Linked DNA regions of Nothobranchius furzeri. The protein of the gene in region 1 interacts with the protein of each later gene in a biochemical or structural test. Links are inferred from orthologs where the notes say so. Each region holds a gene or a part of one and is shown on either strand. Other genes may lie near its edges. The genes, in order: akap1b and mycbp.

What was found.
Region 2: the proteins of akap1b (region 1) and mycbp form a complex in vitro, tested with the Homo sapiens proteins (2 studies listed by BioGRID). The link is inferred for Nothobranchius furzeri from reciprocal best matches to the Homo sapiens genes AKAP1 and MYCBP.

What each region holds. Positions count from the first base shown.
Region 1 is NC_091753.1:61,604,238-61,608,057, reverse strand, and holds part of akap1b (A kinase (PRKA) anchor protein 1b), read right to left. Parts: coding exon 3,444-3,820; intron 3,022-3,443; coding exon 2,897-3,021; intron 2,714-2,896; coding exon 2,587-2,713; intron 2,507-2,586; coding exon 2,379-2,506; intron 2,290-2,378; coding exon 2,112-2,289; intron 2,038-2,111; coding exon 1,887-2,037; intron 1,732-1,886; coding exon 1,664-1,731; intron 982-1,663; coding exon 908-981; intron 818-907; coding exon 752-817; intron 1-751.
Region 2 is NC_091759.1:25,188,419-25,191,721, forward strand, and holds mycbp (C-Myc-binding protein), read left to right. Parts: upstream 1-1,296; 5' UTR 1,297-1,432; coding exon 1,433-1,447; intron 1,448-1,670; coding exon 1,671-1,743; intron 1,744-1,839; coding exon 1,840-1,888; intron 1,889-2,262; coding exon 2,263-2,392; intron 2,393-2,464; coding exon 2,465-2,509; 3' UTR 2,510-2,565; downstream 2,566-3,303. Other genes in the region: gap junction alpha-9 protein, read right to left, coding at 3,256-3,303. UniProt on the Homo sapiens protein: May control the transcriptional activity of MYC. Stimulates the activation of E box-dependent transcription by MYC.

The DNA.
Region 1 (3,820 bases):
GGCATGTTGCCAAGGACTGTGCAAGTGAAGCCAGAAACACTTCATCCCCCCTCCTCCTCCTGAATTTGTACCCCCACCACTTAGGGAACCACCGTATTAACACCTCCAAGTACAAGATGCCATACGTCACTGAAATGAACATTGCCACCTTCCTCTTTGCCTCCATTCGAACCCTTTTTTACGTTTTCTTTTTGACGTTCACCATTAAACTCTCCACCACTCTCAAGCCTCTAGCTCACCCACAAGCACATCAACGTCAGTCTCTGTGAAATGGTGTTTTTAGGCCTTGCAGTCACCGTGATTACCTGTGAAAGCTGCCACTTACCTGGCTTACTCGTATGCAGAACACTCATAAGTGGGTGTGCGGAGGGTGGGGTGTGATCAAAAATCACCTGAGCACACTTCTAGGACAGGTGTGATTTATAAAGCAGGAATTGTGTGCAGCTGTGCGTAAGCAGAGTTTTATGAATCAGAACATTTGTTTGTATAAATAAGCTTTTGTGTCGAGCTTAAGTAGATTTTTAGTGAGGACTCTACACGGCTTCATAAATGAGACCCATATGGTTCTTAGAGCTCGTAGAGACAAGGGAGAGAAAAGTATTTTAACATGTGTTCTTAGTGATCAGACGGGTTTTTAGAGTATGCATGACCACGAACGAAAACCTTTTTACGACATCCAGAGGAACTTGATCCCCTCGCCTGCACAGCTCTCTTACAGTCCACACACAGAGAGTAAATGCAAACGTCATACCTCATCTCCCACCATGTTCCACAGATGAACCAGTGGTAGGCCCGTGTTGTTGTCGTAGTTTGAGACCTTTATAGGAAGCAGGGAGGAAACAGACATTAGACTTTAGCTGGTGGTGGTTCTCTGAAGAGAGAGCTGCAGGGTTGAAGGTAGCCTCACCTGTGCAAGTAAAGCCACGCCTCTGGTCATTTCCTCCAGCGTCGACGTGGCTTCTGCTGAGAAACGATCCTCTCCTGATGAATGACACATCAGTGTGTATGAAACCAGCACCGGAGGTGAACTCAAAACCAAAGATCTGCTCTTAAACACGGCGCTAGAGGCCGACCGATATGTTCAAACTTTCTGTATCGGCCATCAGCCGAAAGTATTTCTAAAAGCTGCGAAAAATATATATATAAAAAAAAATCAGGCACCTCTGTGACCAACTACTGCCACTACTAGACTACAGAAAGGACCCGAACAGCTCCTTTATGTTGTGAGTTTGTTTGACAGCGTTTCCCGTACGGAGCTGAAACTCCAGCACAACGCCTCCAAAGATCAGCAGACGTTTCTTTAAGAGTGTGTGTGGTCAGGGTGGGCGGTACCAACCCTCAAACCTGCTGGCGGACGCCAGAGGTGAGGGATGCTGACAAGCTGTCTTTATGGCCAGAGGGCCGACTGAGGCTGCTGACAGGTTAGGGGTCGCAGTGGAACAAAGCCGGGCCTGGGACAAGTTTCAAGGTGATTCTGGTGCAAATCCGATATCTGAGGAAGTTTATGGTGTTTACGGCGGTGATGGCGTGCTGCTGACCTTGCCTGGGAAGGGCGAATGAGTGGGCGGGGCCCTTTGATTTAACAAACAATAAAATAAATGTCTCCGACTCTGACAGCCAGAAGATCTCTCTAAACTCAGCACGTAACAAAACAAAGCTGTACCTGGAAGAGGGACGATGTTGTCGAGCAGAACTTCTGCACCTTGAAATGGCAGAGTTACAAAATCTGACCTGCAGAGAAAGCATCGTGTTATTTGCTGATGTGTATGAAACAGATGACAAGTAGGCTAGAAGCACAACAAGTGAATGTGCAGAGTTATCAGATGAAGCTGCAGCACCAGGAGCCCAAAGGCTAGACGCCCACAGGTCAGCTGGAGGGCGCTTGCCTGATCTGTCGGAGCGAGTCGGTCTTTACTCGGTCGTAGCCTCCGTAATCAACATATCTGATCTCCACCTCATCGCTGTCTTTATAGAAGGTGATGACCTGAGCTCTCCACCAGGCTCCGTCCACTGCTGGAGCTGCGCAGATAACACCAACTGGAAGAGAAGGAGGAGAACTTCCGACACAGATCTCACCACCGTAGAGAAGACGTTCCAAAGAAAAGTTCTACCTTCAGCAGGCGAGGGCAGGGCGGGGGTACCCGGCTGGGAGTAACACAGGAACATCTGCTGATCCAGACTTCTTAGGGCGTGGTAGGTGGGGTGGGTGTGTTGCTGGACGAAGACGTGACCAGCTGACACGATGTTCACCACAACCACCTCGACGGTCACTCCACTGGGAAGCAGGAGCTGAAAAACATGGAGGTCAAACAGCAAAGCGTCAGAAGCCTGCGCTCAGCACGAGGACTCAGCTGTGTAGCGGAGAAGCTCCTTCTCACCCAGGAGGTCATGGGAAGTGAAGGCAGAGAGAGTGAGGGTGGTGGGGGTGCGTACAGATTGGTCAGGTCCAGGTCCTTAAACTTCTTGCCAATCAGTGCCAGAGCTTTATCAACCTGCTGCTGCACACCTGGCGACAGATCAGGCAGCGTTAGAAACCACCTCCGAGAGGAACCTTTCCTACAAACGGGCGCCTTGCAGCAGACTCACCCTCTATGTGGCAGATCTGGAACTCCTGTGTGTAAGGCAGAGTGGAGATGTAGATCTTTGCTCCAGAGTTCTGCTTCAGGAAGCTCACGTATCTCCCCTGCTTCCCGATCAGCCGCCCTACAAGATGCTGACACGGCAAGAAATGCTCATGAGAACCGTCCTCAACCACTTTGGACCATGAGAGGAAAATCCAGCGACACCAGTTTTACTCCTCTGACATCCACAAAGAAAACGTAGAGCAGCAGAAGCAGGTTTGGTTTCTCTGCCGGCGGCGTCTCCGTTACAGACACGCGGGGGCGGGGTCACTCACCTTTGGCACCTCAATCTCCCAGATAACGAGTTCAGAGTTTGATGAGGCAGCGTTGTTGCCCTGGCCCTCACAGGCTCCCATAGTGCAGCCGCTGTCCACCGAGTCCATACTGTTCACATCAGAACCTGGACACATCACATCCAATATTTTACCTTCACCAGTAACAATCTACACTTTGTTATGACATGGTAACGTTTCTGAAGCCCCGTGTGTCCAACAGCTGCTTCAGTCCACCTCGACCCTTTCTCCAGCTACTAGTCACCTCCAGCAAAGAGAAGGTTTCACAACCACGTCCGCCACCGCCTGAGGGGCGTCGGGTTATGAAGCCCCAGCTAAAGCCCGATGAGACGGAAAAGGAAACCGGCTGCAAAACCCTCTGAAGTTATGGGTCAGACAAGATCAGAAGCTTCTAGATCAGAACCTGGGCCCATAGTCGCCCGATTAACACATTCAGTACGATCACTTCCAGAGCAGACCCACGTCTTTAGCACATTAAAGCAGGCTGCTAGGACACACACCCTCACCGTTAGCATAGGACGAGCCTCACCTCCAGACTGATCGGTGTCCACCTCACATGTCCCATGAGCCCCGTTTCTTGAGCCAATCCCGTTAAGTCTCTTTAGGACACCTGCAGCATCCACAGAGCTCTCCTCTGGGGCTGCTGGGCCGGCCTCCACCAACGACAGCGGCTGCACGGCTTCCAACGACAAGTCTGTAACTTGAAGGACGTCCGTTTGGTTTTCCAACACGCCGCTCTGCAGCTCCTCCAGGCTAACGCCGTCCTCAGAGTGGCAGGTGCTGCAGGCAGAGTCTTCGGTCAGGACGGTCCCCTCGTCGCCTCTACGTTTCACGTTTAGACCTGGAGAGGCCTGATGCGGCGGCGGCGGCGGCCACGAGACATTTGTTTTACAAACCCCGTTGCTG
Region 2 (3,303 bases), on another chromosome or scaffold:
TAAGGAGTCGGGAGGCTGAAAAATGCTGTTCATGATGGAAAATAATGTCTTAGTGTTGCTGGAGTTGGACGAGATGAGACCGGAGTAATACTGTGATTTGGCGTAGGAGATGGAGTCCTTGTAGAGAGAAATCTGAGCAGAATATAAGTCTTTATGGATGGTGAGACCGGTTTTCCTGTAGAGTCTTTCAAGCCTCCGGTTGGCTTTCAATGAGCGTGGGGCAGGGGTGAACCATGGAGCAGACCGAGTGAAATATACAGAGCGGGATTTGATGATAGCAAATGGATTAAGGGTTGAAACCAGACCGTTATTGTACTGAATGACAAGATCATCGGGAGTAGAGGATAAATCTGGGGTCAGGGTGGCAAAGCTGGAGGAATGGGAGGCTAGATCAATGTCCTTAATATTACGAAATGAAATGATACGGGGTGACTTGATGACGGAGAGACGGAGGGGAACAGAAAAGGAGATGAGGAAGTGGTCCGTGAAAGGGAGCGGGTCAGCTGTACAGTTGGAGGGGGTCAGGCCGGAGCAGCAGATTAAATCCAGGGTGTGACCTTTAATGTGAGTGGTGGCAGGCAGAGTTTACAAACTACAGCTAGTTCATCAGAAGCAGATCTTGTTGACAATAAAATGGTAAGTATGGGAAATTTACAGGATAGGGGAAAACGGCTGGAAAGTGGAGTGAAATAAGGGGAGTTTCCTGCCAATACTGACATATTTCATAGCCACGTCTCTAATGTTTCTAAAAAATCAAACCGTATGAAAATCGGTTGAAAACTGAGAAAGTTAAGAGTTGTTTAAATAGTGCACGCACCACTAAACACCACTGTTAGAGGAGGGCCGCTGTCCGAAGTAAGATGGCCGCCGCGAACGGACGTCAGGGTCCATTGACGAACAGCGCGGGTGAGGGATCTAGCTAATATATATGATATCTATGGGTTAAAGCGCCGGACATTCCTGAACTCTGAACCCACGAAGACTGAAGGAACATTTTTTTAATTTAGTGCAATTCGCGTTATTCATGGCTGTACGTTAATCAAATGTACGATAAATCTACTGTAAAGTAAAAAAAAACACGTCCGGACTACGCTAGCAAACTATCGCGCTTTTGGATTTCTTCCATTTAAACAATTTATTTTAAATGTTACCGATATATCAGTTTTTTGTTACCTGGATGTAGAAATAAAAATTCGGCCAATCTGTTTTTTCCCCTTGTGTCACATGACGTAACCAGGAAACATTTATTTTTTTAAAGAGTTAGAAACATTTGTTTAGAGAACTACCAGCGGCATCATTTCCGCTTTACGTGCTGTCATGGCAACAGACCACCTGTTTGTGGACGGAAGTGCGTACAAAACAAGCTGCTGTGTGTTTGGGTCTGGAACCTATCTATTCATCTATCACCAAATTATAGGTTTTAACCGTCTCCATGGCCAACTATAGAGTGAGTAATAAAGAGATAAATATCGTGTTTATCAGAAATGTTTTACATTTTGTTCGTATTTGAGGTTAAACTCACGTAGCGTGTGCTAACTAGTTAGCATCCGGACAGTGAACGCACCATAGGCTCAGATGCTTCTCGTGTTCTGTTTAATGGTGATTTTTCAAACAATAAACGTTCATATTTTAGTTAAAAATTGTTAATGTGACTATTTGTTGGGTTACAGGCGTCCGAGTCAAAGCGAGAACAGTTCAGGAGATACCTCGAACGATCTGGAGTTCTGGACACTTTAACGAGCGGTGGGACATCCTAACGCCCCCTTCTTCCTGTTACCGTCACACACACGCGCTCATTTGTTCAGGTGGCGGGGATTCATGTGTGTTTCTGTTTTGTAGTCTTGGTGGCTCTTTATGAAGAACCAGATAAACCCAACAACGCCCTCGAGTATCCTTCGTTCTAATTATAGAAGATCTGAAGCACTTTTTATTCCAGACTTCAGAAGATTTGAACATTCCAGATTAATCATGTTAACTCGCTATTGCCAGTTATCATTTTCAGCTGAAACTGATTCAGTTGTTGTCCTAAAATAATTATTTTAAACAAAATCTTGTATGTTCTCCATTTTTGTCTCTAAATAGCTAAAATGACATTTGACCCTTCCCAGATTGATTGGCAGCAACAGTTGCTTCTCTAAAGTTGCTGCTGAGGGTTTTCCTCTTTCTCCTTACACACACCTGTATGCTCCGGAGCAGCAGACTGACTAAACTGCATCTTATAGCTCTGACTGACGAGGATCTGGACCTTAACCAGAGACTCAGCTTTATAAAACTCCACCTCGGGACATCGGGTCCAGAACCCAGAGACTCAGAGGCGCTTCGAATGGAGCTGGCTGATCTGCAGCAGAAGTGCAGCCTGCTCATGGAGGAGAACAAGGAGCTGAAGAACAGAGTAAGCATCCACAGGTCAGAGTTCACCCCGGATTCTCCGTCGGGAACGTCTGACGGTTTGTTTGTCTCACAGCTGATGCAGTACGAGACGTCGCCTGAGGAGAGAGCTGGAGTGTAGGACGGCTGCGGTGCTGCTTTTGGGGGTCCCGGGAAATAAAATCATTCATCACTGGCTTTTGTTTTGTGCAGAATGTAAATGTTTTATCATCACATAATCAACGAAGACAAAATCACTGTTCGTTTTTTAAATAACAAAACATTTGATCAGAAATTCATATTTTTTCACTTTTTTTAAAAATTCCATTTAAATTTTTCAGTCTTTCAAACTGAAATCTTCTGCATCAAGTAGAAAAATAGTTTCCATATAAAAACACCAAAACACAAAAGGCCATCAGCCTCTAAAACTGTTTAGGTGGATTAACTCACTGCTGAACTAAAAGTGTTTACATAACAACAGCTGACTGGAACACGAGCGATCGATGATTCGCTTTTCCATCCCTCCGCGTCTCCATCCTGCTGAATCGTTAAATGTCGATCTGGATGTCTGAGGCTGACCTGGAAACGCAGAGACCAGTTTCTCTCAAAGCTTTTGAAACATGACAGAAAACTACATAAAGCATCTTTTCTACTGCAGCCTGTGGTTTTTGTGTTTACATGTACAGAGCTGTGCAAAAGTCTTGATCCAGACCTCATCAGGAACACTTTTCATCAGAGGTTAAAAAGATTCTCCGATAAAAACTGACACTAAGAGAAAAATCAGCCAGAGTTCAAAGAGAGACTCCTCAGGAAGTCTGGAGAGCCACTGATCCAAGTCTGGCTGCGTTTGGAAACACGACACCAGAACCGGATCAGGACTTAACGGGTTCAGATCTGTAAGTCCGTCGGGGCTCGTCTGCTGCTGCCGCTGCTCGC